4 linked regions of the Anolis sagrei genome follow. The protein of the gene in region 2 purifies or fractionates together with the protein of the main gene of each other region. This does not show direct contact. Links are inferred from orthologs where the notes say so. Each region holds a gene or a part of one and is shown on either strand. Other genes may lie near its edges.

Region 1 (8,144 bases), on a different chromosome or scaffold from region 2:
AAGGCAGTTTTACATATGGCAACTATTCAATGCCTTTGGACAACAAACAGAATATGCTTAAGTTAAAAATTAAAATTAAAATTAAACGCACATTAAAAAATATAAAACATTGCATTCATTATTAAAATCATGCCATCCTCAGTGTAATATGGGCCATTTTAAAGACCAATTGCACATATTTCGAGACTATTATTTGCACTATAGATTAATCTCCAAAGGCTTGACCCCAGAGCCAGGTTTCCACTTTCCTTCTGAAGGTCAGGAGGCAGGGAGCTGCTCTAATAGTGCTAAATAACCTAAAAGTGGCAGATCTGGCCTGATCTCGGAAGCTAAGCAGGGCCAGTTCTGGTTAATACTTATGGTTAGTACTGGTCAGTACTTATATGGGAGCCTGGCAATGAATACTAGGTGCTGTTGGTTATATTTCAAGGGCTGGGACTGGCCAAACCATCTATAAGTATCCCTTGCCTAAGAAATCCCTATGAAATCCATGGGGTAGCCATAGGTTAACAGGCAACTTTAAAACACATAAACACATAAGGAATGAAGTAGTAGAGTAAGAAAAGAGGAAAACAACCTTGAAGGAGGATAGACTCAATAAAGAAATCCATGGCCCTAAATTGCAAGACTCAAGCGGGGTTATTAACCGGGTTCTCATTTGTAGGATCACCATACACCTAATCATACTTCATGGTAGTTAACAACAATTAATACATTTATTCTGTGCTGGCTGATCTTCACCCATCTATTCAAAGATTTCTTAGGAAGTCTTGAATCAGTCTGCAAGAGCACAAAACACTTCGTATTCAGAAGATCCAAGGTTCAGTGTCTGGTAGAACTGGGAAAAGTACCTGGAGAACTGCTTAGACTCCGTGCACAGGCCATACCAAACTAGATGGATGAATGGTGATTTATATAAACTGCCGTGTAGCTTCCTATATTCCTAAGCATAAGCTGAGGAGTTTTCTATTAGGGTATCTTTTAAATTTAACAGTTCAGTAAAAAATCATCCTCCCACTTCCAATTAATGATTGTTTAAGGGATTAATGCTTCTGTTTGTAAACTACTCTCTCAATATGAATGAAACAGTACTGTATTACCTTTCTGTTTAGTTCTGTATTTTATTTTAATTTTAAATAAGGATAGATTGCTATTGTCTAAAATAGTGTGCAAAGAGAAAATAGGCAGGAATAATTAGGTCCATTGTTCATATACTGTCTATAAACATTTTTTAATTTTAAAAAAATATTTCATTGTGACGTGTTTGAATTACATTTGAAAAACACAGTAAGTCTTCCACATTTACAGGTTTGACTTTTGAGGATTTTTTTTTATTTGCAAAGTTGATTATATTCATCTTAGATCCCTTCCAGACAGGCCCTATATCCCAGGATCTCATCCCAGTTTTTCTGCTTTAAATTGGATTATATGAGTCCGCATTACCAGATAATCTGGAATAAACAGAAAACCTGAGATCAGATCCTGGGATATAGGGCCTGACTGGAAGGACCCTTAGAAATCGTGGGCAGTGCATCTAATATAATACTGTCTTGCCACTGTCACAGGCACGATTGGCGGGGACAAGAGAGAGGGCCTTCCCAGAGATTGCCCCTTGGCTATGGCACTCCCTTCCTGGTGAGATTAGATCTTCAGAAGGATGGTAAAAACTTGGCTGTGGGACCAAGCTTTTGGTACAGTGCAATAGGAAACCTTACCATGCCGACTAGATTCAATATGGGTGATTGAGACGGTTTTATACCGTGGATTTTAATGCCAGATAAATTATTTTAATGCTTATGTATGAGTATAATTTATTTATGTTCTGGCATTGGGCGGAATATAAATGTTTTAAATAAATAAATAAATACTGTACAATATTTGTGCTTATAATACAGCATTCATACAGGGCTTATATTTGTGCTTATACAGTGACACGCACGTATAGCATACACAGTAATATAATATGTATCATATGAAGTGGGTATTTTGGGTATTGGGTTTTGGGATACATATACATGAATGTTTGAGTTCCACTTTTCAACCATTTCCATTTTTTGATGGCACTCTGACACTTAAACCGTCTAATAAACCGAAGATGCTTCTAGTGCAATAAATTGCATTTTATTGTACTTCTAGTACCTCTCCTCTTGCACCACCAGCATTCTGCTTCTAGTACAAGGTTTGTAACCTGGCTTCTGTGTGTTGTGGGATTTCAGCTATTGCAAGGACCAAAGATTTGGCATGTGAAGTTTCCAAAGGATTGAATGAGACACAGATGGATGAAGGCAAAGATCAGAGGCTTAATTCTCCTTGGCCAAAGAGGATGTCAGTAGAGTCAGCAGCACCCCAAAAAGTGACATAAGTGCAACTGCAAACATATAGAATTTTTTATAACACTTTGACAGCTATTCAAAACAGAGACTCTAGCATGCTGGCTGTTGATTGATGCAAAATGCTGCCAGCTAAATCCACCTCCTGATAGGTCCAAGAGCTCCATCCATTATCATAGCTGATTGGCTTCAGATGTGGGAAATGTAATAAACTATCATTGGGGTTTTTTGAAGGTTTGAGCCTGTTTATTGATCTCAGGGCAAAGGTGCAAGTAGAAAGGAATGTGGCTGGGCTAGAGATGATAGGCTGAAATGGTTCTGTTTCTACCAGGAAAATGGGTGGCAGCCAGGTACACAAAGTAGTGTCCAGGCTATTGGCACAGAAGTCTTGAGACCCCAGGGAAGGGGTCCATTCCAGGGACTGGGATGAGGAAACATTCCTAGGAACAAAATCAGACAATGTCTAGAAAAGCCCTATGGCTTATCCTAAGCCTGTTCTGTGTCCTGTCTCTCTCAGGGCATTGTGAAAGGATTATGATAACGAAATGTTTGGACATTCGCGGAGGTGTGTGTGGTGTGCACATAGTGCTTAAGCAACATTTAGGTGAGTTCATTGAAGGGTTGCCTGAAACTAGGGAAAGGGTCACCACAGACACCCTGTTGGTTCCTATGGAGACATGGATTCTTGGTTTCGTCTTTTGAGGTCTGGTTTTTGATAACATGTGCACAGAGGTGGCACATGTTATCACTTTCTGCATTTCTACCCTCTACTTGCAGGTAGAAATGCAGAATCACTGCACAACTGAAAAAAAAAGCAAATTAAAAACACACTTTAAAAAACCTGACAGAACACTTCTCTGGAAATCTTTATATGCTACAGTATAGCAGAAGTTGGCTACAGAATTGCACTGGAGGACCTAGATATTTCTAGAACAAATGTTTCAATCAAATCCATAATGATCAAATCTGTAAACATTAAAACCAATAACACATGGAGAGCCAGTTGTGATTTGCATGCATAACATGCCTGAAAAACAGACCTGTTCATTGATTTCCATTCTAAAACCCTTCTTGAAGCCCACTCAACTCTCAACACCAGCTGGAATGGGACTCACTTTGGGGTCAGGACCCAAAACTTAAGAAGCAGTGTTCCAGAGCCTCAAGACTCTGAGCCACATTAGGTCAAGGTTGGTTCCTCTTTTGTACATATCCGCATCCCATCCACACCTGATGAAAAATTAGATGTGGTGTGATGTAGTAGCCTGAGTGCTCTCCATGCAATTTTTCAATTCTGCCACAAAGCTCATGAGGTGGTTTGGGTCACAGGGATCATCTACAGCAGGCATGGGGAAACTTTGGCCCTCCGGGTGTTTTGGACTTCAACTTGGCTAATAGGAATTGTGGGACTTGAAGTCCAAAACACCCGGAGGGCCAAAGTTTGCCCCTTCCTGATCTACAGTATTAATGCAGTTTGACAACCACTTTAACTGCCAGGGTTCAATGCTGTGCAATACCGGGAGTTGTAGTTTTACAAGCTTTTCACTGTCTCTGCCACCAAAGCCTCACCAGACTCCAAATTCCAGGACTCCATAGCCTTGAGCCATGGCAGTTCAATCTGTGTTGTCAAAGGCTTTCATGGCTGGAGTCACTGGGTTGTTGTGAATCTTCCAGACTGTATGGCCATATACCAGAAGCATTCTCTCCTGACGTTTCACCGACATCTATGGCAGGCATCCTCAGAGGTTGTGAGGTTTGTTGGAAACAAAGCAAGTGGGGTTTATATATCTGTGAAGTGTCCAGGGTGGGAGAAAGAACTCTTGTCTGCTCAAGGCAAGTGTGAATATTGCAATAGATCACCTTGATTATCACTGAATGGCCTTGCAGCTTCAAGACTTGGCTGCTTCCTGTCTGTTTTCTGAGTGTTGTTCTTTATTTAGTGTCCTGATTTTAGAGTTTGTAAATACTAGTAGCCATATTTTGTTCATTTTCCTGTTTTTTTCCCCTTTCTGTTGAAATTGTCCACGTTTGTGGATGAAAATGAATAAAATCCGGCTACCAGTATTTAAATGAGCTTTCACCCACTCTGGACATTCCAGAGATATATAAACCTCACTTGCCTAGTTTCCAAAAGACCTCACCACCTCTGAGGATGCCTGTCATAGATGTGGGCGAAACGTCAGGAGAGAATGCTTCTGGGACATGGCCATACAGCTTGGAAAACTCAACAGCAACCCAGTTCAAACTGTATTACTTCTTTTCTGCCTCTCCGACGGGGAGGAGGCGGGACGGACAGCCTTCAGCTGGGAGGAAAAGAAAATTACAAAAACAAAAAAAAAGAAAAAGAAAAACCTAGTGTCTGGGGCTGATTGACAGGCCGGCAGGTCACGTGACACTCTCTGCCACGCCGCGAACCTCCTTGGAGGGAGGGGACGAAGGGATGAGTTCGGTGAGCGCGCGCGCGCGGATGCTCGTGCACGCGGCTCCGGGAGCAAACTTCCCAGCGCAGCAGAAAGTTTGCTGAGAAGGCGGGAACGCGCCTCAAGGGGAGGAGGAAGGAGAGGAGGGGGGCGGGTGTGGGCGCGCGCAACCACCTGGGTGCCTTGTCAGCGCCGCCTTCTCCTTTGGCTTTGCGGGACAGAAGAGGCAGAGCCTGGGCCAAAGAGTCGCCAAAGCTGGCTGGCCCGGAGCCCCTTCCTCCCCTCCCTTCCTAACAAACAAAGGCAGACTCCAGAGGAGGAGGAGGAGGAGGAGGAGGAGGAAGAGGCGCGCCGGGTGCAGGAGCCGCCTCGGTCCGTCTGTCCGTCCCCTTGCTTGCTTGCTGCGAAGTTGAGCCCTTGCGGGAGGGAAAGAAGGAGGGAGGGAGGGAGGGAGGAAAGGAGGCGCTTCTTCCTCCTCCCCTTCCTCCTCCTCCTCCTCCTCCTCCTCCCACAGGGCTCCAGAAAGTGAGAGGAGAGGCGCTTAGGCTGCGCAACTCCACCAAGGAACGAAAGTCAGCGGATTGGGAGGAAACTTTGCCTTCTTCCTCCAGGAACTTTTTGGAAGAGGCTTTGGCGCTGAGTTTGGAGGAAGAGAGAGAGAAATAGGTGGACTCTCCGCACCGCATGGGACCCTGCGGGAGGTGAAGCCTCTGGCGGGGTTGGTGTGCAGGCAGGTAAGCTGGGCGATGATTGACAGGCGGGTGGGGTGGGGTGGGGTGGGAGGGGAGGGGAGGGGAGGGGGGCAGGAGGGCCGACAGGGGAGGAGAAAAGGACCTCATCCCTCCCTCCATAGCCTCCCCCCTCCCTTCACCATAGACCTATCTGGCCGACCCTCAATGGGAGAGGCTTAGGTTGCATCCACATTGTGGAATGAATGCACTTTGGCACCACTTGGACTGCCAGGGCTCCATGCTGTGGGATCCTAGAGTTTGCAGTTTGAGGAGGCCCCAGCACTCTTTGGCAGAGAAGGAGAAAGACCATGTAAAACTTCATCTCCGCAGCACAGAGCCATCTTTGATGTGGGGACAGTTAGTCCAAAATTTCCTTGTCTGATAAAACAGAATAGGCCACCCTCAATTTTTTTCCATGTCAGGAGTGACTTGAGAAACTGCAAGTCGCTTCTGATGTGAGAGAATTGGCTGTCTGCAAGGAAGTTGCCCAGGGGACATTGGATGTTTTACAATCCTGTGGGAGCCATCTCTCTTGGTCTGCATGAGGAGCTGGAGCTGACAGACAGGAGCTCAACCCGGTCCCCAGATTTGAACTGCCGACATTTCGATCAGCAGCCCTGCTGGCTGTCCATCCAACAGCATTCACTTTCACCAAGGATTAGGAAAGTCAACAGATAAGTGATAATGTTTGAGTGGGAGCTCACCCCATTTTGTTTGGAAGAGGTCTTGACTTGTGCCTTCAAGGCCCCCAATTGGCTTGTATCCCCCCAAAACCCCACACACAGATGGCCTTCCATTGCTCCTGTTTGCCTTCAAGTCCTTCCCCACTAAGGGTGACCCTTGAGACAAGCAACGGTTACTGTTTTTCCTTCAGGGATATTCAAACCCTGGTCCCCAAAGTTCTAGTCCAGCATTGAAACCACAGAGTGCATCTATGCCAGGGATAGGCCAGCTTGGGCCCTCCAGGTGTTCAACCCCCGCCATTCCTAACAGCCTCAGGCTCCTTCCTTTCCCCCCTCAGCCGCTTAAGGAAAGAGACTGAGGATGTTAGGAATGGCGACACTTGAAGTCCAAAACACCTGGAGGGCCCAAGTTGGCCTATGCCTGATCTATGCTGTAGAACAGACATGGACAAACTTCAGCCCTCCAGGTGTTTTGGACTGCAACTTCACAGTTCCTCACACCTGGAGGGCTGAAGTTTGCCCATCCTTGCTGTAGAATTAATGCAGTTTGGTCAAACTTGAATTGCCGTGACTCAATGCTATGGAATTATGGAATCTGTTAGGTTTGGCCTTACTTATTTTTCTTGGCCTTCCTCGGAGGATGGGAGAGTTTGACTGGTTCAGAGCCACATTGTGAGTTTTCATGGCTGAGTGAGGATTGGAAGCCCTGCTCCTTAGCGTCCTAATCCAACACTCAAACTATAGCAATTATCTGCACCGTAGAATGAATGCAGCTTGACAAGACCTTAATTGCCATGGCTCAGTGCTATGGAATCTTGGGAGTTATAGTTTGGTGAAGCATCAGCACTCTTTGGCAGGGAAGGCAAAAGACCTTGTGAAACTAAATCTCCCAGGATTCCATAGCACTGAGCCTGGGCAGATAATGTGGTGTCAGGCTTTCATTGAAGGTGGAGCCCCAGTAGCTCAGTGGGTTAAACCAGTGGTTCTCAACCTGTGGGTCCCCAGATGTTTTGGCCTTCAACTCCCAGAAACTTCTGGGAGTTGTAGGCCAAAACACATGGGGACACACAGGTTGAGAACCACTGGGTTAAACTCTTGTGCGGCAGGGCTGCTGACTAAAAGGTTGAAAGGTCAGTGGTTTGAATCCAGGGAATGGGGTGAGCTCCTGTCTGTCAGCTGCAGCTCCTCATGTGGGAACATGAGGATGGTGAAATATTTGGGCACCCCCTGGGCAATGTCCTTGCAGACTGCCAATTCTCTCACACCAGAAGTGACTTGTGGTTTCTCAAGTTGCATCTGACACACGGGAAAAAAACCCAGGGTGGCCTATTCTGTTTTATCAGACTAGGAATTTTTGGACTACTTGTCCTTCCCCCAGTTCAATAAATGCCATGTTTCTTTAGAAAATGTTAGCACACAATTCTCTTGCCTTTGAGAGACTTAACAAATTTGGGGTGGTCTAAGCTTCCATGGATTAGTGAGGCCCCTTCATCAGGTGATTTGGTCAGAGTGGGCTGGGGAAATGCTTCTAGTCCTTTTGCCTCCTAGTTCTGTGCGAGTATGTATCTACTTATAGGGTGGATTAAAGGATACTTCCATGCAAGCAGCTTTTCGTTCCTCTGCCCTAGTCAGCTTTCAATGTGCTTGTGTGCATAGGTACATAGGAGATAGGTGGTTGTGATGGTCCTAAAAGGCCATTAAGCTTTTGTAAAATAATTCCTTCTTTAGCTAATTGGTAGGAGTTCTCCATGGAGCAAAGGCATTACAAAATTTTCATAGCTAGCCTTACCATTAAGTAGAGTGAGGCAGACACCTCAGGCAATGGATTTGGGGTGTGCCGTGAAAAGGCAGAAAATTGTTAGTTATTTAATTCATTATGTTCGTATTTTTATTACCAGGAAAGGAGGAGGCGTTTTGAGACTTTCTGCCGCTGGTGCCAGAATAACTTGGCTGTCCTAGGTTACTATGCATTTTGGCTTGGGT
Region 2 (7,719 bases):
GGCTGTCTTTCCAAACTCTGCTCATAAGCCAGCCCAGATGGAGGGTCATCTTCCCCCAAATACCAGGTTTCAAAGTAGGGAAGATGGAATGGATTGCTGCATTCACCTCTCCCTAGCTCCACAATAAACTTGCTTTGATGGCTTTAAAAATGAAATCTGTCTAAAAGACACACTGTGCACCATCCTGAGAACCATCAGCTTCTCAGCAGGACACACATATTTCCAAAGAAGAAAAATAAATAGTTCTCTTAACGTCATGTCCCTTCAGAGTCATGTGGGTGAAGCTGGTGGCATCAATGAGGAATGGTGAACCTGCCCTGAGTTTCAATCCAAACTCGAAAAGAGAATTGAACCTATTTTAGGGATAAACAGCACGTATAGTTCCCTTTCAAGTTTGAAATGAAATCCAAAGCACAAGCATCCCCTCACTGACTTCAAAATCACCAACAACCACGCAAATAATGACATTCACAATTACTTTGGAAGGAACTACAGCTATTCCTTTCCTTCAACTAGAGTGCCAAAACTGCAATAGAATATTTGGCTAAAAGGCACCAAGGTGATATGGGCACATCCTCTAGGTCAGCGTTTCTCAACCTGAGGATTGGGACCCCTGGGAGGGGGTCATGAGGGGGTGTCAGAGGGGTCGCCAAAGATAATCAGAAAACGGTATTTTCTGTTGGTCATGGGGGTTCTGTGTGGGAAGTTTGGTCCAATTCTATAGTTAGTAGGGTTCAACGCATGGCAGCACGGTACGCATATATGGGTGAGAGAGAGCATGCGAGGCTGGAGGGAGGACGTGACAGCAAGTCCCTTCAAGGCATGGGGTTCTATGTGTTTGGCCCAATTCTAGGGTTCAGAATGCTCTTTGATTGTAGGTGAACTATAAATCCCAGCAACTACAATTCCCAAATGTCAAGGTCTATTTCCCCCAAACCTCCACCAGTGTTTACATTTGGGCATATTGAGTATTCATGCCAAGTGTGGCCCAGATTCATCATTGTTTGAGTCCACAATGCTGTCTGGATGTAGGTGAACTATAACTCCCAAACTCAAGCTCAATGCCCACTGATCCCTTCCAGTATTTTCCATTGGTCATGGGAGTTCTGTGTGCCAAGTTTGGTTCAATTCCAAATTGGTGGAGTTCAGAATGCTCTTTTGTGAACTATGAATCCCAGTAACTACAACTCCCAAATGACAAAATCAATCCACCCACAACCCCACCAGTATTCAAATTTGGGCATATTGGGTATTTGTGCCAAACTTGGTCCAGTGAATGAAAATACATCCTGCATATCAGATATTTACATTACGATTACATCACAGTGGCAAAATTACACTTATGAAGTATCAACAAAATAATTTTATAGTTGGAGGCCACCACAAAATGAGGAACTGTATTAAGTGGCCATGGCATTAGGAAGGTTGAGAAACACGACTCTACAGTTTGACAATTGCAGAGAACTCCACTCTAAGTTTTGGTATTGAACAGTAACGGAACTATCCAAACTCTTGGGCTATAATCTCAGTTATACTGAGACCAGAATCAACATTTCACATTGACAGAGTGATCCTCTATGGATGAATGACTGCCAGCATACCCATTCTGGGCAATAGTCTGAATGTTAGAGGAGTTACACAAGCTCCAAGCTTTATCCTCCACACTGTGATAAAGTAATAAAAATAGAATGATAGCACTTAATGGCACAGATGAGAAACAAAGCATGAGAATATCAACTGTCCACTCACCAAAAGACAGTACGAAAAAGAAAGGCAGCCAGCAGAGAATGAAGACCCCGACCACGATTGCGAGGGTTTTGGCGGCCTTCTTCTCCCGGGAGAACTTCAAGAGTCGCACGGAGAGGGAACTCCGGAAAGTGTGTCCCTTGTTCTTGGTGCTGGCCTGGGAGTCCTCCACAACGCTGCGGCAGTGGATCCGGAGCACGACCTCCATGGATTTGCTCCTCTCTTTTTTGACCCCGGCCTCCAAGCTCTTGGTGGTCCTCCGTGCCACCACATAGATGTTGAAGTACATCACCAGGATGACGGCCAGGGGCAAATAGAAGGAGAAGAGGGAGGAAAAGATGGCATACCCTGGCTCTTCCGTGATGTTGCAGTGCTGGTCGTTCTCAGGAGGTGCCTCCTTCCATCCCAGAAGGGGACCGATGGAGATGACCATGGAGGAGATCCAGACGGCCACCATGATGATCACCGCCTTCTTCTCAGTCATAATGGTGGGGTATTTCAGAGAGTACTTGACCCCGATGTACCGATCCACGGAGATGATGCAGAGGCTCATGATGGAGGCCGTGCAGCACAAGACATCCACCGCTGCCCAGATGTCGCAGAAGATGCGCCCAAAGACCCAGAGGTCCTCCAGAACTTCCAAGGTGGCTGAGAAAGGCAGGACGGTGGTGCTGAGGAGCAAGTCGGCGATGGCCAAGTTGATGATGAAGTAGTTGGTGACCGTCTGCAAGTGACGGTTGCAGGCCACGGAGAGGATGACCAAAATGTTGCCCACAATGGCCGAGAGGACGAAGAGGGCCAGAAAGACCCCTACACTCACCGACTGGAGGGTCAGCTTCAGAGCCAAGGAGGTGCCGTTGTTGGCCTGGACATCTTCCTCTCCGCCGGTCCCATTAATACCCCCAGCCTCTCCCGAGTGGTTCCCATTCAAGCTGGCATTAATCCGGTCAGAGAAAGTCATTCTTTTTCAACAAGGTCCGGTCTCCATGGGGTGGGACGTGGGATGGCTCAGCGTGGCAGAGGGACAGAGGAGAAGAAGGGCATAGGCATGGGCTTTCACTCACCCCAAACTCCCAGTCTCGCATCAGGAACTGAACCCATTCCTCTTCTGAGGTGCATGCTGTCAGGAGGAAAGTCTCTTCCCAACTTGTCCCGATCTCCCTTCTTCTGCAACTCTGGATCAAGATTCTCCAGACTCTGCAAATCTAAACCTACCAGGGATGCCCTTCAGTAAAAGACACCTTCATCCTTCTTTTCCCTCCTTAAATCCCCAGGGGCAAGTGGCTTCCCTTGCCAAGCTGCTGGATCTCGAGGAGCCCATCTTCCCTACCACAGAGGGACCCCGGTTTGTGAAGCAAGGAGGGGAGAGAAAGAGAAGGAAGGAAGGAAGGAAGGAAGGGAGGGAGGGAGGGAGGGAGGAAGGAAGGAAGGAAGGAAGGAGCTCCCCTCCTATGTCTTGGGCTCCTCCGCCCCTGCTTCCTCTTCCATCCAAGGTCCTCTTCAGCCAATTCCTGCAATCACAACAACTCGCAAAATGGTCTAGATGCCCACTCGTGCGGGGGAGGGAAGGAAACACCCGCAACGAAGAAGGAAAACAACCTTCTCCCCCTTTCTTTCTTTCTCTCTTCTTTGCGCCTCTCCAAATGTTGGGTACCAAATTCCCTCAAGCAGAAAGGTGGCTCATCTCAACCAGAGCAGGTAAAAAGTGAGAGGGAAGCTCAAGGTAGCAAGAAAGAGGATTTCTGGAGAGGAAGGACTGACTTCTTCTTCTTCCTTGTGCCTTCATCCAGAGAAGATGAGGGAGAGGATTGGGGAGGAGGCGTCACTTCCACCGGGATCCAAAGGGATGCGCCAAGCGGGGCGCACGGAGGAAGAAGAGGAGGAGAAGGAAGAGCATCCCCACTGGAGAAAAAACCGCTTTCCTTGCGACTCAGCCTGCCATGCAATCCTGGAGGAGGGAGACCAGCCTTCACTGCCCCACGGCGCTGCCTCCGACACAGGAAAGGAAAGGCAGAAAAGTCGCAATCCTTCCAGGCGCGGAGAAGAAGAAACTTTGCATTCAGGAGGCGGAGTGCGGTGGTGGAGGAGGAGGAGGCGCTCTTGCGGGATGGAGGGCTGGATGGATACACCTTTGGGGGGCTCGCTGTGCACGGAAACAGGAAGCCCAAAGGGAGAGGATGGGGACACGCTCCTTCTCTGGCTCTCAGCGGCCCCCCAATTGGGAGGAGACGCAGGCAAAGAGGGACCCCCTGCAACAGACTCTGCGCCCTGCAGTTGCCAAGATGCCCAACCAAGTGGATGGAGAGGGGAAGAAGCCGCCTGGCGTTTGGGGTGGGGGGAAGGGGAGGGAAGAGAAGGGGGGAGGAAACACGTTCTGGGTCAAAAGGGGAGGGGAGGCGGAGGAGGAGGAGGGGGAGGAGGAGGAGGGGGAGGCTGGAGCTGCTGCCCAAAATAGATTCATTGAAGGATTTCCAGCGCCTCCGCTGAGCGCACCGAAGCCGCTAGGGGACAGCAAAAGGCAGGGCTGCTCTTGGCCTCGCAGACTTACTACTCGCTTGGTCATCTTTTCGCATCTCGAATCCTAATGAACCGGCTCTTGTAGGACTGGAGTAGACTTCAGGTTCAACCAGGACTAGGGATCGAATCCCCCGCCCGGCTTAGAGAGGCGCATTTGGTGACCTTGGGCAAATAATGTTGGGAAGAGGAGCTATTAGACTCAAAATAATGCTCATTTGGAATCATTTGGGGTGATTCCACAATATATATGCTTAAGGCACTCTGCTATCTATCTATCTATCTATCTATCTATCTATCTCTGCTATCTATCCATCTCTGCTATCTATCTTTCTGTCTCTGCTATCTATCTCTGCTATCTATCTCTGCTATCTATCTATCTATCTATCTATCTATCTATCTATCTATCTATCTATCCATCTCTGCTATCTATCTGTCTGTCTATCTCTGCTATCTATCTATCTATCTATCTATCCATCTCTGCTATCTATCTGTCTGTCTATCTCTGCTATCTATCTCTGCTATCTATCTATCTATCTATCTATCTATCTATCTATCTATCTATCCATCTCTGCTATCTATCTGTCTGTCTATCTCTGCTATCTATCTATCTATCTATCTATCTATCTATCTATCCATCTCTGCTATCTATCTGTCTGTCTATCTCTGCTATCTATCTATCTATCTATCTATCTATCTATCTATCTATCTATCCATCTCTGCTATCTATCTGTCTGTCTATCTCTGCTATCTATCTCTGCTATCTATCTATCTATCTATCTATCCATCTCTGCTATCTATCTTTCTGTCTCTGCTATCTATCTCTGCTATCTATCTATCTATCTATCTATCTATCTATCTATCTATCTATCCATCTCTGCTATCTATCTTTCTGTCTCTGCTATCTATCTCTGCTATCTATCTCTGCTATCTATCTATCTATCTATCTATCTATCTATCCATCTCTGCTATCTATCTGTCTGTCTATCTCTGCTATCTATCTATCTATCTATCTATCTATCTATCTATCTATCTATCTACCTCTGCTATCTATCTGCCTGTCTGTCTGTCTGTCTCTGCCATCTATCTATCGATCTATCGATCTATCATCTATCTATCTATCTATCTATCTATCTATCTATCTATCTATCTATCTATCTATCTATCTATCTACCTCTGCTATCTATCTGTCTGCCTGCCTGCCTGCCTGTCTATCTGTCTCTGCTACCTACCTACCTACCTACCTATCTATCTATCTATCTATCTATCTATCTATCTACCTCTGCTATCTATCTGTCTGTCTGTCTGTCTATCTCTGCTATCTATCTATCTATCTATCTATCTATCTATCTATCCATCCATCCATCCATCCATCCATCTAATTAGAGTGCCTAAAGTGCAGTTCATAATCAACAGAAACTTAGGTGTATTGAGATAGGATTGTTGTTGTTCATTCGTTCAGTCGTTTCCTTCAGACCAGCCCACGCCAGAGGTCCCTGTTGGTCGTCACCACCCCCAGCTCCTTCTTCAAGGATACCATCCATCCATCCATCCATCCATCCATCATAGGATTAGCTTTCATATAATCATAGAGTTGGAAAAGGGCCATCCAGTCCAACTCTCTGCCAAGAAGCAGGACAATCGCGTTCAAAGCACCTCCAACAGATGGCTATCCAGCCTCTGTTTAAAAGCCTCCAAAGGAGGAGCCTGGGGCAGGGAGTTCCACTGCTGAACAGCTCTCACCCTTAGAAATTTCTTCCTCAAGTTCAGATGGAATCTCCTTTCCTGTAGTCTGAATCCAGTGTTCCACATCTTAGTCTCCAGGGCAGCAGTAAACAAGCTTTCTCCCTCCTCCCTATGACTTCCCCCCACATATACATGGCTATCATATCTCCTCTCAGCCTTCTCTTCTTCAGGCTAAACATGCCCAGCTTTTTAAGCTGCTCCTCATCGGGCTTGTTCTCCAGACCCTTGATTCTTGGAGTCAAATTCCTCTGGACACATTCCAGCTTAGAGTCAACCTCTCCCTTCAATTGTGGTGGCCAGAATTGGACACAGTGTGATTCCAGGTGTGGTCCGACCAAAGAAGAATAGTGTGACTTCCCTGGATATAGACACTACATTCCTATTTATTTATTTATTATTTCCAACATTTCTACCCTACCCTTCTCAACCCCTGAGGGGGCGGGGCGGGCTCAGAGCGGTTTACACAGGCAAAAATTCGATGCCACAACATACAAAACAATTATAACAGATATAATAACAATTTAAAACAGTAAATAATATTTATTTATTTATTTATTTATTTAATTACAGCTTTTATATTCCGCCCTTCTCACCCCACAGGGGACTCAGGGTGGATTACAGTCTACACATATATGGCAAACATTCAATGCCGATTTTTGACATACAGACATATACAGACATAGACAGAGGCTATTTAACTTTTTCTGACTGCTGGAGCTGTCGCTTTCATCGTCCATCTGCGACGCTGATAAAGTACTTCCGCATTCCTTGCATGCTTCCCCGCTGGAATGCTTTGCTGGAGTCTTCTCTATGGCCTCATAAATTAGTTAATTTAGCCTCCCCACACTTTAATGTGGTACCTAATTTTCCTACTTGACAGATGCAACTGTCTTTCGGGTTGCAAAGGTTGACAACAGGCTACACACAATTGGTTAGAAACCCACTCCAACCTGGGCTGGCTGCGAACTCATGACCTTTTGGTCAGAGTGATCTTTTAATGCAGCTGACACTCAGCCAGCTGCGCCACAATCCCGGTAAGTTAAAAACAATTTAAAACATTGCAGTCCAACATCCCATTGGCTTTGACAACACAATAATAATAACAATAATAAATAAGCCACCTTTCTCCCAGCTTTGGAGGAAAGCAAAAGCAAACAAACCCCCTCTGGACCTGTTCTTCCAAGAAACCTCTTCTAATAGGGTCACCGTAAGACACACAGCAACAACAAGAATCCTATGATCAGAGGATGCCTGCCTTCCTAAAGCCTTTCATTTCAGGGAATTCCCTTTTAAACTGCAGGTGTTTTCCCTCTTAACATGACTTGGCACGTAGACTATTTTGGAGAACTATTTTTTTTAATTGCAGGTGTTTTTGTTTTGCAAGCATTGTCTGACGAAGATCAGACCTCCGATGGAGGAGGGAAGACATGAGGAGGGTTTAAAGTGGATTCATTCTCTAGATAACTGCAACGCACTCTACGTGGGGTTGCCTTTGAAGACTGTTCGGAAACTTCAATTAGTCCAGCGGGCGGGAGCCAGATTACTCACCGGAGCATCATACAGGGAGCATACTAATCCTCTGTTATGTCAGCTCCACTGGCTGCCGATCCAGTTCCGAACACAATTCAAAGTGCTAGTTTTGACCTACAAAACCCTATACGGTTCCGTCCCAGCATATCTGTCCGAACGTATCTCCCTCTACATCCCGCCTTG
Region 3 (7,451 bases), on a different chromosome or scaffold from region 2:
AACACATCATGCAATGTGCGGGGCTTGACGAATGCAAGGCTGGGGTTAAAATTGCTGGAAGAAACATTAACAACCTTAGATATGCAGATGATACCACTTTGATGGCCAAAAGCGAGGAGGAGCCGAGGAGCCTTCTAATCAAGGTGAAAGAAGAAAGTGCAAAAGCTGGGTTGCAGTTGAAACATTTAAAAAAAACCCAAGATTCTGGCAACCGGACTGATTGATAACTGGCAAATAGAGGGAGAAAAAGTGGAGGCAGTGACAGACTTTGTATTTCTAGGCACAAAGATTACTGCAGACACAGACTGCAGCCAGCAGGAGATGTGTAGTTCTTGGGAGGAGAGCAATGACCAATCTTAATAAAATAGTGAAGAGTAGAGACATCACACTGGCAACGAAGAACCACACAGTTAAAGCAATGGTATTCCCCGTAGTAACCTACGGATGTGCGAACAGGACCATAAGGAAGGTTGAGCGAAGGAAGATAGACGCTTCTGAACTGTCGTGTTCGAGGAAAATTCTGAGAGTTCCTTGGACTGCGAGAAGATCCAACCAGTCCATACTTCGGGAAATAAAGCCCGACTGCTCACTGGAGGAAAGGATAGTAGAGGCACAGTGGAAGTACTTTGGCTACATCATGATAAGTCAGGAAAGCTTGGAGAAGACTATGATGCTGGGAGAAATTGCAGGAAAAAGGAAGAGGGGCCAACCAAGGGCAAGATGAATGGATGGGATCCCTGAAGTGACTGGATTGATCTTGAAGGAGCTGGAGGTAGTGATAGGCCGACAAGGAGCTCTGGCCTGGGCTGGTCCATGAGGTCACGAAGAGTCAGAAGTGACTGAACGAATAAACGACAACAATCACAATAATTGCAGATGCAGTCACTCACTGAAGGGTGAAAACCTTCAGGGCAAAAGTATGATAGCTGGGACCCAACACTACGCTAGTTGCATAACGCAGCTGTGAATTAAGGAAGGGAAGAAGTGTGTGAGACAGCAGAGCAAGTAAGAGACACTGCTACGTCAGAATACTGGAAACATTGTTCACCAGAAAGGGAAAGAGGAAACATTCCTACCCCGTTTACCGTCTTCGTAAGCCATTGTTTATCATTTCACAGCAAATACCTCTAACATTACTTCCCTTCATTAATCCTGCCCCCGCGTTGCGCAACCAGTGTAGGATCCCAGCTACTAGCGTAGGGTCCCAGCTATCATACTTTTGCAACCTCCAGAAAGGCACACAATTGCAAAGCTTCTTTAACTCCCATTATTGCGAAAAGCATGGGGTATAAATAAATAGAATGCCAAGTTTGCAAACTTTGTGTTTTTTAAAAAAATACAATACAACTGTTTGGTTTGCTTCTGACACGATAAATAAAGAAATACCAGATTGCCTTGTGTTCAGCCTGCTTTCCCCCAAAGCTCCTTGCTCGCTCCCTTGGAATGGGGGTGCTGAAAAAACAATTGTGCTGTTCCAGCAGTCCCCAGCCAATCCCTCTCCAATGCCAGAAATACAGCTTAATGGTGTAACATTACCACCTCTCCACAAAAGTCAACATTGACACTGAAATGCAATGCCACCTGAGCTCTGCGAGTGCACCATTTTTCTGAATGAAGCAGAGAGTGTTTGAGGACCGGGGCATCTGTAGGGATACCAAGGTGCTTGTTTATAAAGCTATTGTCCTCCCAACCCTGCTATATGCCTGTGAGACGTGGACTGTCTACATACATCACATGCAACTCCTGGAATGATGCCATCAGCACTGCCTTCGGGAAAAACTGCAAATCTCTTGGGAAGACATGCGGACAAACGTCAGCATGCTTTTTTTTTTTTTTGTCATGTCAGGAGTGACTCCTGGTGTGAGAGAATTGGCCATCTGCAAGGACGTTGCCCAGGGGATGCCTGGATGATTTGATATTTTTATCATCCTTGTCCCCGCATGAGGAGCTGGAGCTGATAGAGGGAGCTCATCCACCTCTCCCTGGATTTGAACCTGTGACCTGTCGGTCTTCAGTCCTGCCGGCACAGGGGTTTAACCCACTGCGCCACCGGGGGCTCCTTCAGTGTGCTGGAAGAAGCAAAGACCACCAGCATTGAAGCGATGGTCTTCTGCCATCAACTCCGCTGGACCGGCCACGTTGTCCGGATGCCCGACCACCATCTCCCAAAGCAGTTGTTCTACTCCGAACTCAAGAATGGAAAACGGAATGTTGGTGGGCAGGAAAAGAGATTGAAAGATGGACTCAAAGTGAACCTTAAAAAACTCTGTCATAGACACTGAGAACTGGGAAGCCCTGGCCCTTGACTGCTCCAGCTGGAGGTCAGCTGTGACCAGCAGTGCTGTAGAATTTGATGAGGGACGAATGGAGGGTGAAAGAGAGAAACGTGCCAAGAGGAAGGCGTGTCAAGCCAACCCCCACCTGGAAACCAATGCCCTCACTGCGGGTGAAGATGCGGGTCAAGAATAGGGCTCCACAGCCAGCTAGGGTATCTTGGAAGACTATCCTACTGGGACACGGAGGGCTCGCCTAAGGCAGTGAGGTGCCAAGCCCTGCCGGATGCTGCCCAGGAGGAGCAGGAGCCTCAGCCCTACCTTCGAGGAGGACCTCCCTCCCGGCCCGCTTGAGCGCCTGCACGGCCTCGTCGTGGGTGGCGTCGCGGAGGTCTGCGCCGTTGACGGCGAGGATGGCGTCGCCCACGTAGAGCGCCTGGGTCTGGTCGGCGGCCAGTCCCTTGAAGATCTTGCTGACCAGGATGGGCATCTTGTTCTCCTTGCCGCCCTTGATGCTGATGCCCAAGCCGCCCGCCTCCTGCTTGAGCACCTTGACGCGCCGCTTGGCGTTGGCTAAGGCTTCGGGCACTTGCTCGGGCAGGTCCGTGAACGCCGTCCGGACGGAAGCCGAGTCCGAGCCCGCTCTGGGGCCATGGCTAGGGCTGCCCGGCGCCCCGAGCCCGTTGTAGAGGCCGCCTTCTCCGCCGCCCCCCTCCTCGGCGCTCAGGACCAGCGCCTCCTCGCCCAGGCTCACCAAGACCCGGTGCCAGCGGTCGCGCACCAAAACTTCCAGCGCGCCGCTCCGGTTGGGTCCCCAAAGGCCACCTCCGGACGCCGCTGCTACCGCCATCTTTGGAGCATTGCTCCCCAAAAGCCCTGGCACTTCGGGGATCCCCACGACACCCCGGAAGGAGGAGGGAGCGCTTCGGAAAGCGGCGAGCGCCGGGAGGAGAGAGAAAGGCGCACGGCGCGCAGGACTTTCGCCTCCGGGAAAAGAGAGAGAAAGAGAAAGAGTGGAGGAAAGAGAGAGAGAGGTTGAGAGAGAGAGAGAGGCTCCGGGAGGAGGAGGGCCAGCCCCAAAGCACTCCCGCCGAAGGGGAGGAGCGGGCCAAGAAAGCCAAGCGAAGTGGGGAGGGAGAAGGAGAAGCCCAAGTCGGCGCGGAGTGGAGTTGGGAGAGAAAGAGGGCACTTCCTTGGCACCGCTTCAAGCGCCCCGTTTCAATACTTTGGTTGGGACTTGCAGCTTTGCACGGTGCTTTCCTGCCCAAACGTGCCGGTGCCTCCCCAAACTATACATCCCAAGAACCCAAAGCATTGAGCCCGCGCAATGGAAGCGGCGTGGAGTCTGTGGACGGCATCCCATGCGCTCTCACACTCTCCTTTCAAACCTGAATGGGGAAAAAATCACGAGAGAGTGCCATTGAGGAACGTCGCAAATATTCACTATCGGATGCCTACCGTTTGACACCACTTTTGACCTCATCACACTAGAGAATGAATCCGCTTTAAATCCGGTTTCTGCCTCCTAGAGAATTCTGGGGTTTGTAGTTCAGTGAGGCTGCTAAAGGCTCCTCTGGAATATTGTTTACATCTGGAATATTGTGTCCAATTCTGGGCACCACAATTGAAGGGAAATATTGAGACGCTGGAATGTGTCCAGAGGAGGGCAACTAAAATGATCAAAGGTCTGGAGAACAAGCCCTATGAGGAGCGGCTTAAAGACTTGGGCATGTTTAGCCTGAAGAAGAGAAGGCTGAGAGGAGATATGATAGCCATGTATAAATACTTGAGAGGAAGTCATTGGGAGGAGGGAGCAAGCTTGTTTTCTGCTGTCCTGAAGACTAGGATGCGGAATAATGGCTTCAAACTACAGGAAAGGAGATTCCAGCTGAACATGAGGAAGAACTTCCTGACTGTGAGAGCTGTTCAGCAGTGGAACTCTCTGCTCCGGAGTGTGGTGGAGGCTCCTTCTTTGGAAGCTTTTAAACAGAAGCTGGATGGCCATCTGTCGGGGGTGCTTTGAATGCGATTTCCCTTCTTGGTGGGGGTTGGACTGAATGGTCCACGAGGTCTCTTCCAACTCTATGATTCTATGATCCTCCTTAAACTACAATGCCCAGAATTCTGCAGGAGGCAGCAACTGGATATAAAGTGGATTCATTCTTGAGTGTGATGAGGTCCAAGGCCCTTTCCACACAGCTGAATAAAATCCCACATCATCTGCTTTTAACTGGAATATATGACAGTCTGGATTCAGATACTCTAAAATCAGGACAGTAAATCAACAGCAAGACTCAAAAAGCAGGGGAATTCCAGACAATAATCAATCAGGGCCAGGTAACACCTCCCAGCAAGGGATCCCCCCAGGCAGCAACCAGCCAGAACTCTTGTCTGATTGAGGCAGGTGTGAGTGTTGCAAATAATCACCTTGATTAGCATTAGTGGCCTTGCAGCTTCAAAGCCTGGTTGGTAGCTTCCTGGGGGAATCTGGCTACCAGTATTTTTAAAAGACCTCTAAAATCAGGACACTAAATAAAGAGCAAGACTCAAAAGGCAGGGGAATTCCAGACAAGAATCAATCAGGGCCAACTAACACCTCCCAACAAAGAATTCCCTCAGGCAGGAAGCAGCCTGATCTTGAAAATGCAAGGCCATTAAATGCTAATCAAAGTAGCCAATTGCAACAAACACACCTGCCTCCAACATACAAGAGCTCTTTCTACCACTCTGGCCCTTACTACAGATAAACTTCACTTTCCAACAGACCTCACAACTGCTGAGGATGCTTGCCATAGATGTAGGTGAAACATCAGCAGATAATGCTTTTGGAACATGGCCATACAGCCTGTGTTTGGCCAATGCTACATTTGGTGGTCCCTATGTAGACTTGTCCACAGCTGCATGGTGTAAGTAGACTCCTGCAAAGGTGAGAGGATCTCATATAAGTTATAGTTTGCACTGTTGCATTGTACGGCGTACACCTGCACATAGAAGGCAAAAGATTTTGTAAAACTATATTTCCCATGGTTTCATAGCATTGGGCCATGGCAGTACAAGTGGTGTCAAAATGCATTATTTTTTTACAGTGTAGATGCATGTGAAATGCATGGAGTTCAGCACAAGCCCCCCCCCCCCCCCCGCAGAGTATTTATTTGCAGCATAGTTTAAATGCCATGGCTGAATGCTATGAAATCATAGGATTGCAGTTTGGTGGGTGCCAATCTCCCAGTCTCTTGGATGGAAAAGGTGGGAATCTTTGTAAAATTACAACTCCCATCATTCCATACCATTGAGCCATGGCAGTTCAAGTGGGGTGAATGATGGTCACTTACCTGTAGCCATGTTTCCTTGAGTGGTCATCTGTTAAATTCGCACATATGGTAGCTGATGCACCATATTTGTGTATTTCACAGAGACCACGAAGGAGAAATGATGGTTGCTTTCCTGTAAACATGTTTCTTTGAGTGGTCATCTGTGAAATTCACACATATGGTGCATCAACTACCATATGTATGCATTTATTATTATTTATTTATTAACTTTATTTATACCCCGCAAAATCTCCCAAAGGACTCGATGCGGCTTACAAAGTTCAAGGCCACCAACAAACAACAGCATACAAATACAACAATAAAATTCATAAGCAAATAAAAAAACAGCAAGCAAAACAATAAAACACTAAAAACAATGACACCATGACGCATTTAAAACCTAACCTTTCACAGAGACTACGAAGGAGAAAACAAAATTAATTCTACAATGTAGAGAGATTACGAGAGGTGATGCAAAAGTGCCTCAGGAGCGGTCTCCTTAGTTTCCACTGTTGTTGTTGCCTTCCTTCAAGTCATTTAGACTTAAGACAACTCTCATACAGAATGATCTGGAGCTGAGATTTGCCCTAAATCACCCAGTAAGAAATCAAACCCTGGTCTCCAGACTTGATCAGACCACATTGGCTGTACCTTAGCAGCAAACCAGAAGTGTTTTGGATCCCCCTCTCCCCCCCCCCCCCCAGATTTTGGGATAGTTGCATGTTAATAGTGAGACATATTGGACTGGGACCCAAGCCCCAATAGGAAATTCATTTTTTGTTTTGTAGACACCTTGAATATGTCACCTGAATATGCTTTTAGACACACTTATGGCAACTATAAGGTTATATGATTTCCTTGGCAACAGCTGTTCAGAAGGGGGTTGGCATTGTTTTCCTCTGAGACTGAGAGAACATGACTTGCCCAAGCTTTCTGATGACTATCTATTTATTATTATTATTATTATTATTATTATTATTATTATTATTATTAGTAGTAGTAGTAGTAATAGTAGTAGTAGTACTGGAGTGACTTGAGAAACTGCAAGTTGCTTCTGCTGTGAGAGAATTGGTCATCTACAAGGACATTGCCAAGGTCACACTCGGATGTTTTACCATCCTGTGGGCGGCCTCATTCATGTCACCGCATGGGAAGCTGACAGACGGGAGCCCACTCTGCTTTCTATAGCCAAACAGGAATGTCTCCGGAGTCTTAGACCAACACTCAAATCACTATCCCATGCTGACTTTCCCCAGGTTGAGTTTCCTTTATCCAAAATATTTGGAACCAGAAGCATTTGGGATTATGTTGATTCCCCGACCCCATTTCAGAATATTTGCTTATTCATAATGTGATATTTTGGAGTTCAGACTCAAGTCCCAACAAGAAATTCACTTACATATTTCACAGACAGTTCAAACATATCACCTGAATGTATGTTTGGCTATAATATTATATAATTTGAGGCATGAAGACAGGTGTTTATCCACTGCCTCTTCAGAAAGGAAATAGGCACTATCTCAGCAACTCAGATTTTGGAGTATTTTGCATTTCCAAATAAAAGATTCCAGATATAAGGACTTTCTCTGCTGTGTTTCTTCACTCCTTGCCCCAGGTGTGGGTGTGTTATGTGCACTGGAAAAAGCAGGCTAGGATGCCCTAGGAAATAAAGGCCGCTTTTATGAATTGTTCCTGATTTTATTGCCTTGACTTGTGATGCAATCTCGGCTCAGTCCGGAAGCAATGCAGTGGGGCACGGCACTGGAAATCTGTGTTTCCCAATTCAAGTCTCTTGCGAAAGTGTCATGCTGGTTTGGAGCAATTTGAGAGTTTCGACCACAAAATGGGACCTTTGGGGTTCTGTCTG
Region 4 (7,606 bases), on a different chromosome or scaffold from region 2:
TGTCAAACCAGAATAGAGATGTCAGTCACCCACCCTCCTCTCTCTCTCCTTCCCCCCCCTTTCCTTCTCCAGGTTAAAACTATTATATTAATTATATTTATTATTATTATTATTATTATTATTATTAAGAATGGATGGCCATCTTTCAGTACTGCTTTGACTGTCCCATACATTCACGAAGGCAGAAAGTGGTTTGTTATTATTATTATTATTATTGAGAAGAAGCACTGTCAAACCAGAATAGAGATGTCACTCACTCACCCTCCTCTCTCTCCTTCCCCCCCTTTCCTTCTCCAGGTTAAAACTATTATATTAATTATATTTATTATTATTATTATTAAGAAGGGATGGCCATCTTTCAGTACTGCTTTGACTGTCCCATACATTCACGAAGGCAGAAAGTGGTTTGTTATTATTATTATTATTATTATTATTGAGAAGAAGCACTGTCAAACCAGAATAGAGATGTCACTCACTCACCCTCCTCTCTCTCTCCTTCCCCCCTTTCCTTCTCCAGTTTAAAACTATTATATTAATTATATTTATTATTATTATTATTATTAAGAAGGGATGGCCATCTTTCAGTACTGCTTTGACTGTCCCATACATTCACGAAGGCAGAAAGTGGTTTGTTATTATTATTATTATTATTATTATTATTATTGAGAAGAAGCACTGTCAAACCAGAATAGAGATGTCAGTCACCCACCCTCCTCTCTCTCTCCTTCCCCCCCTTTCCTTCTCCAGGTTAAAACTATTATATTAATTATATTTATTATTATTATTATTATTATTATTATTAAGAAGGGATGGCCATCTTTCAGTACTGCTTTGACTGTCCCATACATTCACGAAGGCAGAAAGTGGTTTGTTATTATTATTATTATTATTATTGAGAAGAAGCACTGTCAAACCAGAATAGAGATGTCAGTCACCCACCCTCCTCTCTCTCTCCTTCCCCCCCTTTCCTTCTCCAGGTTAAAACTATTATATTAATTATATTTATTATATTTATTATTATTATTATTATTATCAAGAATGGATGGCCATCTTTCAGTACTGCTTTGACTGTCCCTTACATGCACGAAGGCAGAAAGTGGTTTGTTATTATTATTATTATTATTATTATTGAGAAGAAGCACTGTCAAACCAGAATAGAGATGTCAGTCACCCACCCTCCTCTCTCTCTCCTTCCCCCCCTTTCCTTCTCCAGGTTAAAACTATTATATTAATTATATTTATTATATTTATTATTATTATTATTATTAAGAATGGATGGCCATCTTTCAGTACTGCTTTGACTGTCCCATACATTCACGAAGGCAGAAAGTGGTTTGTTATTATTATTATTATTATTGAGAAGAAGCACTGTCAAACCAGAATAGAGATGTCACTCACCCACCCTCCTCTCTCTCTCCTTTCCGTTGTTACCCAGGCCTATAGTTTGAGGGGCTGTGATCTGGCCCTCTGTTTAAAAAGTTTGAGGACCTCTGTCCTAAAATATAGAGCAGTCTAGACACAGCCTGAGAAGGGACGGTGCTTTATTTATTTATTTATTTATTCATCGTGTCAGTGCAACCAGTTGATTATGTTACATTTCTAACAGAAAAAAGCAAAAAAACAAAACAAAACAAAAACAGACAAAATACGAAAATCTTGAGTTTGGTAGTTGACGATAGAAGGGCCATCGGATAACCCAGTTCAAAGCAGATATTGTGGGTTTTTCCTGCCTTTATATCCTGAGATATAGGGCTGTGTGGAAGGGCCATCGGATAACCCAGTTCAAAGCAGATATTGTGGGTTTTTCCTGCCTTTATATCCTGAGATATAGGGCTGTGTGGAAGGGCCATCCGATAACCCAGTTCAAAGCAGATATTGTGGGTTTTTCCTGCCTTTATATCCTGAGATATAGGGCTGTGTGGAAGGGCCATCCGATAACCCAGCTCACAGCAGATATTGAGGGTTTTTCCTGCCTTTATATCCTGAGATATAGGGCTGTGTGGAAGGGCCATCGGATAACCCAGTTCAAAGCAGATATTGTGGGTTTTTCCTGCCTTTATATCCTGAGATATAGGGCTGTGTGGAAGGGCCATTGGATAACCCAATTCAAAGCAGATATTGTGGGTTTTTCCTGCCTTTATATCCTGAGATATAGGGCTGTGTGGAAGGGCCATTGGATAACCCAGTTCAAAGCAGATATTGTGGGGTTTTCTGCCTTGATATTCTGGGATATAGGGCTGTGTGGAAGGGCCCTCAGACAACCCAGCTCACAGCAGATATTGTGGGTTTTTCCTGCCTTGATATCCTGGGATATAGGGCTGTGTGGAAGTGCCCTCAGACAACTCAGTTCAAAGCAAATATTGTAGGGTTTTCTGCCTTGATATCCTGGGATATAGGGCTGTGTGGAAGGGCCATTGGATAACCCAGTTCAAAGCAGATATTGTGGGGTTTTCTGCCTTGATATTCTGGGATATAGGGCTGTGTGGAAGTGCCCTCAGACAACTCAGTTCAATGCAAATATTGTAGGGTTTTCTGCCTTGATATCCTGGGATATAGGGCTGTGTGGAAGGGCCATTGGATAACCCAGTTCAAAGCAGATATTGTGGGATTTGGTAGGGACGATGCTGGCAACCCCCCAATGGAGCCCAAGGGACTATTTCTAGCCTCCTCCTGCTTCTCCAAAGAGCGCGCAGGAATCCTACCTCGGCTCAAGGTAAGGCTCATGCAATATTCACAAAGCCACACAAAGCAACGAGCCTGGCAGCAACAACAACAATAGCCAAAACTTTTTTCGCCCAAACTTTCGCGGAAGTTAGTCACAGGCTCTTTAAAACGGATTACAGTCGAAAGGAGGAGAAAAAAGAATGAGGGAAAGTTATGTGAAAGAAAGAAGCGCCCCAAAAGCCAAGCCAAAAAGCAAAGGCCGGGGTGAATGGATGGATGGCTGGCTGGCTGCCCTTCAAAAGAGAGAAAGTCCTTCCCCGTTTGAAGGCGCTTCGGCTGAAAGGGGAACGGATGAGTCCCTTTCTGGGCACACGAAGTGAGTCCCAAATGAGGAGGAAGATAGGGCGGGAGGAGAAGGAGCCTTCAAAGTGGACAATGAAGGGGGAGGGCTGGGTTGGAGTGGGCAATACCTGCGCCACCAGCGGCACCAGCGTCTGCTCCACCGACCGCGAGCGGATCTGCAGCCCCGGCAGCAGCGGCTCCCAGCCCAGCGCCGAGCCCGGAGGGGAGCGCGGCCACGGGCAGACCCCGCTCCCGAGGCTCCCTCCTCCGCCTCCTCCTCCTCCTGCGCCGCCGAGGAACGCGGCCATTGCTCCGGAGCCGCGCCGCTCGCTCCTTCTCCAGAAGAGGAATGAAGAGGCGGCGGCAGAGAAGCCGGGGCTCCCCCTCGAGGCTCCGCCCCTTTCTCCGCCCTCCCTCTCCCCCTCTTTTTCCCGCCTTCGGACGTCGCCCCCCCCCCTCCAGCCAATAGGGTGGCCTCAGAGGGTCGCGCGCGCTCGCTTCGCCCCTCAGGCGGGAAAATTGCCATGCCTTATTCCTCCCCACCTTCTGGGTTAATAAACCCTCTCAGGGTCCTTCCACACAGCCCTATAGCCTAGAATATCAAGGCAGAAAATCCCACAATATCTGCTGTGAGCTAGGTTATCCAATGGCCCTTCCACACAGCCCCATATTCCTGGATATCAAGGCAGAAAATCCCACAATATCTGCTGTGAGCTGGGTTGTCTGAGGGCATTTCCACACAGCCCTTTATCCCAGGATATCAAGGCAGAAAATTCCACAATATCTGCTTTGAGCTGGGTTATCCAATGACCCTTCTACACAGACCTTTATCCCAGGATATGAGGGCAGAAAACCCCACAATATCTGCTTTGAGCTGGGTTATCCAATGGCCCTTCCACACAGCCCTATATCGCAGAATATCAAGGCAGAAAACCCCACAATATCGGCTTTGAACTGGGTTATCCAATGGCCCTTCCACACAGCCCTATATTCCTGAATATCAAGGCAGAAACCCCCACAATATCTGCTTTGAATTGGGTTGTCTGAGGACACTTCCACACAGACCTATATCCCAGTATATCAAGGCAGAAAACCACACAATATCTGCTGTGAGATGGGTCGTCTGAGGACCCTTCTACACAGACCTTTATCCCAGGATATGAGGGCAGAAAACCCCACAATATCAGCTTTGAGCTGGGTTATCCAATGGCCCTTCCACACAGCCCTATATCGCAGAATATCAAGGCAGAAAACCCCACAATATCGGCTTTGAACTGGGTCATCCGATGGCCCTTCCACACAGCCCTATATCCCTGGATATCATGGCAGAAAATCCCACAATATCAGCTTTGAACTGCTGGGTCTGAGGGCCCTTCCACACAGCCCTATATCCCTGAATATCAAGGCAGAAAATCCCACAATATCTGCTTCGAACTGGGTTATCCAATGGCCCTTCCACACAGCCCTATATTCCTGGATATCAAGGCAGAAAACCCCACAATATCTGTTTTGAACTGGGTTATCTGAGGGCACTTTCACACAGCCCTATATCCCAGGATATCAAGGCAGAAAACCCCACCATATCTGCTTTGAACTGGGTTATCTGAGGGCTCTTCCACACTGCCCTATATCCCAGAATATCAAAGCAGAAAAGCCCACAGTATCTTAGTGTTGACCCAGATAACCCAGCTCAAAACAGATATTGTGGGATTTTCTGCCTTGATATTCTGGGATATAGGACTGTTTGGAACGGCCCTGGGTTATCTGAATCCACACTGCCATATATCCCAGTTCAAAGCAGATAATTTGCGATTTTATTCAGCTGGGTGGAAGGGGACCCAGAATATCGAGGTGCACAATCCACAATATCTGTTTTGAACTGGGCTATCTGAGTCCACATTGCTATTTAATCCAGTGCAATGTGGATTTTATGCAAATGTGTGGAAGGGACTTTTCCAGACATGACCCATATCCCAGGATTGGATCCCAGGTTTTTTGCTTTAAACTGGATTATATGAGTCCGCACTGCCAGATAATCTGGGATAAATAGAAAATCCGGGATAAAATCCTGGGGCATACGGCCTGTCTGGAAGGGCCCTCAGATAGTCCAGTTCAAAGCAGATATTGTGGATAATCTACCTTGACATTCTGGGTTATATGGCTGTGTGGAAGGGCTCTGAGTCCACCCTGCTATGTATTCAAGAAGTTGAGTGTGACTCTGTACAACAGTTTTTTTCAACCTTCCTAATGCCGTGACCCCTTAATACAGTTCCTCATGTTGTGGTGACCCCCCAAAATAGAATTATTTTTGTTGCTATTTCATAACTGTAATTTTGCTACTGTAATGAATTGTAATGTAAATATCTGATATGCAGGATGTATTTTCATTCACTGGACCAAATTTGGCATAAATACCCAATATGTCCAAATTTGAATACTAGTAGGCTTGGGAGGATTGATTTTGTCATTTGAGAGTTTTAGTTGCTGGGATTTATAGTTCACCTACAATCAAATTGCATTCTGAACTCCACCAACAATGGAATGGAACCAATCTTGGCACACGAAACTACCATGACCAACAGAAAATTCTGAAAGGATTTGATGGGCGATGATCTTGAATTTTGGAGTTGTAGTTCACCTACATCCAGAGAGCACTGTGGACTCAAACAATGATGGATCAGGACCAAACTTGGCACAAATCCTCAATATGCCCAAATGTGAACCCTGGTGGAGTTTGGGGAAAATAGACCTTGACCTTTGAGAGTTTTAGTTGCTGGGATTTATAGTTCACCTACAATCAAAGAGCATTCTGAACCCCACTAATGATACAATTGGGCCAAACTTCCCATAAGAGAACACCTATGACCAACAGAAAATACTATGTGGGTTGTTGTAGGTTTTTCCGGGCTATATGGCCATGTTCTGGAGGCAATTTTTCTCCTGACGTTTCGCCTGCATCTATGGCATGCATCCTCAGAGGTAGTGAGGTCTGTTTTCTGATGGTCTTTGGCGACCCCTCTGACACCCCCTTGTGACCCTCTGGGGGTCCCGACCTCCAGGTTGAGAAAAGCTGCTGTAGAAGGTTCACGTTTTGTTTATAAAGGACAATAGTTTTATAAGCAAGCATTTTGGGTCCCTTCCACACAGCTGAAAAAAATCCCACATTATCTGCTTTGAACTGTAATATACGGCAATGTGGACTCGAGTAACCCAGTTCAGAGTAGATATTGTGGGATTTTCTGCCTTTGCATTCAGGGTTATAGGGCTGTGTGGAAGGGCCCTTAATCTAGATAAGAAAGGTGATCCTGGAAGGCAGATCAAATAATAGGTATTCAACCTGTGTTAGATAGGGTCGCACTCACCCTGAAGGTAAAAGGCTTGCAGTTTGGATTTACTCAGTGTGGGGTAAAAATCAGTTAACGTACCTCACATGTTAATATCAGAAAAGGCATCTGCTTGACCTGGGGAAATGAGGGGGAAACACCTTTTAGCCCAGAGTTAGATTCCAATTTGGAAACAATTTCAGTAGGGAGTGGCTGCATTCCACAGTCAGTGGGGTGAAGGGCATAAGGTAAGGCTGAAATAAAATGGGCAAGGCTATATTTTACCATTTACCTCAGCTGGGTGGCTGTCATACATGCAAACCTTACAGATCTGTAAATGAAGGGTCATATGTTATATAGACTCTTTCCACTGAGCATACCTGAGCTGCTGTGTCATGCAAAACCTTGCCAATTCACAAACCAGAATTCCTGTGCCATGCAAAACCTTCCAGAGCTACAAGCCAGAGCACATATTACTGCAAAACTTTCCAAAGCTCGAAGTAAATTCTCAATGGTTGGCAATAAAGATAGAAAAAAGTTCCCGGCTGAATAGGAAACCTCCAACTGAATTAGCAGGAGAGAGGTTTCCCTTTCCTGTCTTTAACAACCTTAACACTGTGTACTGATTCTTCCAGCCAGCGCAACAGTGTAATAGAGCAACAAGAGGGAGGAAACAATATACCAGGCATGGGCAAACGTTGGCCCTCCAGGTGTTTTGGACTACAACTCCCACAATTCCTAACAGCCTCAGGCCCCCTTCCTTTCCCCCCTCAGCCACTTAAGCGGCTGAGGGGGAAAAGGAAAGGGCCCGAGGCTGTTAGGAATTGTGGGAGTTGTAGTCCAAAACACCTGGAGGGCCAACGTTTGCCCAAGCCTGCAATATACCCTCAAGTCCCTAGAATGCAAGCCCTCCTAAGGTGTATTCAGTTGGCCCCTGTTCCAGTTATAACACATTGCTTTCCTAATTTTTTGGATTCTTAAAGCAAGGAGCCATCAACTATATGCCGTCGCGCCTGGAGGCTATAACTCTTAGTGAAAGAGGCATGGACATCTTTCCCCCAGGGGATTGCTTCTTGCCCTCCTTTAGGAAAACTGGAACTCCCAAAGACCAAAACACTGTAGATAACTCAAAATAAGTTTAATTGTTCATAAAGAGTTATCCCTTTAAGGCAATAAGCTGGAAGTTTCAAAGGGGTAAAGGAAAATATACATTACAGTCTCTGGTTGTCTTGGGTCCAAGGAGTTTTGCAGCTGAGAAGCTTTTCCAGGTCCCTCTT

What was found.
Region 1: the proteins of ADRA1D (region 2) and UTRN purify together in Homo sapiens (tandem affinity purification; 4 studies listed by BioGRID and IntAct, with this or other methods). This does not show direct contact. The link is inferred for Anolis sagrei from reciprocal best matches to the Homo sapiens genes ADRA1D and UTRN.
Region 3: the proteins of ADRA1D (region 2) and SNTB1 purify together in Homo sapiens (tandem affinity purification; 4 studies listed by BioGRID and IntAct, with this or other methods). This does not show direct contact. The link is inferred for Anolis sagrei from reciprocal best matches to the Homo sapiens genes ADRA1D and SNTB1.
Region 4: the proteins of ADRA1D (region 2) and CTNNAL1 purify together in Homo sapiens (tandem affinity purification; 3 studies listed by IntAct, with this or other methods). This does not show direct contact. The link is inferred for Anolis sagrei from reciprocal best matches to the Homo sapiens genes ADRA1D and CTNNAL1.

The regions. Positions count from the first base shown.
Region 1 is NC_090021.1:76,107,357-76,115,500, reverse strand, and holds the start of UTRN (utrophin), read left to right. Parts: upstream 1-4,898; 5' UTR 4,899-5,481; intron 5,482-8,144.
Region 2 is NC_090025.1:9,059,412-9,067,130, forward strand, and holds the start of ADRA1D (alpha-1D adrenergic receptor), read right to left. Parts: upstream 3,156-7,719; 5' UTR 2,708-3,155; coding exon 1,750-2,707; intron 1-1,749. UniProt on the Homo sapiens protein: This alpha-adrenergic receptor mediates its effect through the influx of extracellular calcium.
Region 3 is NC_090024.1:21,346,344-21,353,794, reverse strand, and holds the start of SNTB1 (beta-1-syntrophin), read right to left. Parts: upstream 3,352-7,451; 5' UTR 3,124-3,351; coding exon 2,595-3,123; intron 1-2,594. UniProt on the Homo sapiens protein: Adapter protein that binds to and probably organizes the subcellular localization of a variety of membrane proteins. May link various receptors to the actin cytoskeleton and the dystrophin glycoprotein complex.
Region 4 is NC_090024.1:105,059,494-105,067,099, reverse strand, and holds the start of CTNNAL1 (alpha-catulin), read right to left. Parts: upstream 3,371-7,606; 5' UTR 3,315-3,370; coding exon 3,135-3,314; intron 1-3,134. UniProt on the Homo sapiens protein: May modulate the Rho pathway signaling by providing a scaffold for the Lbc Rho guanine nucleotide exchange factor (ARHGEF1).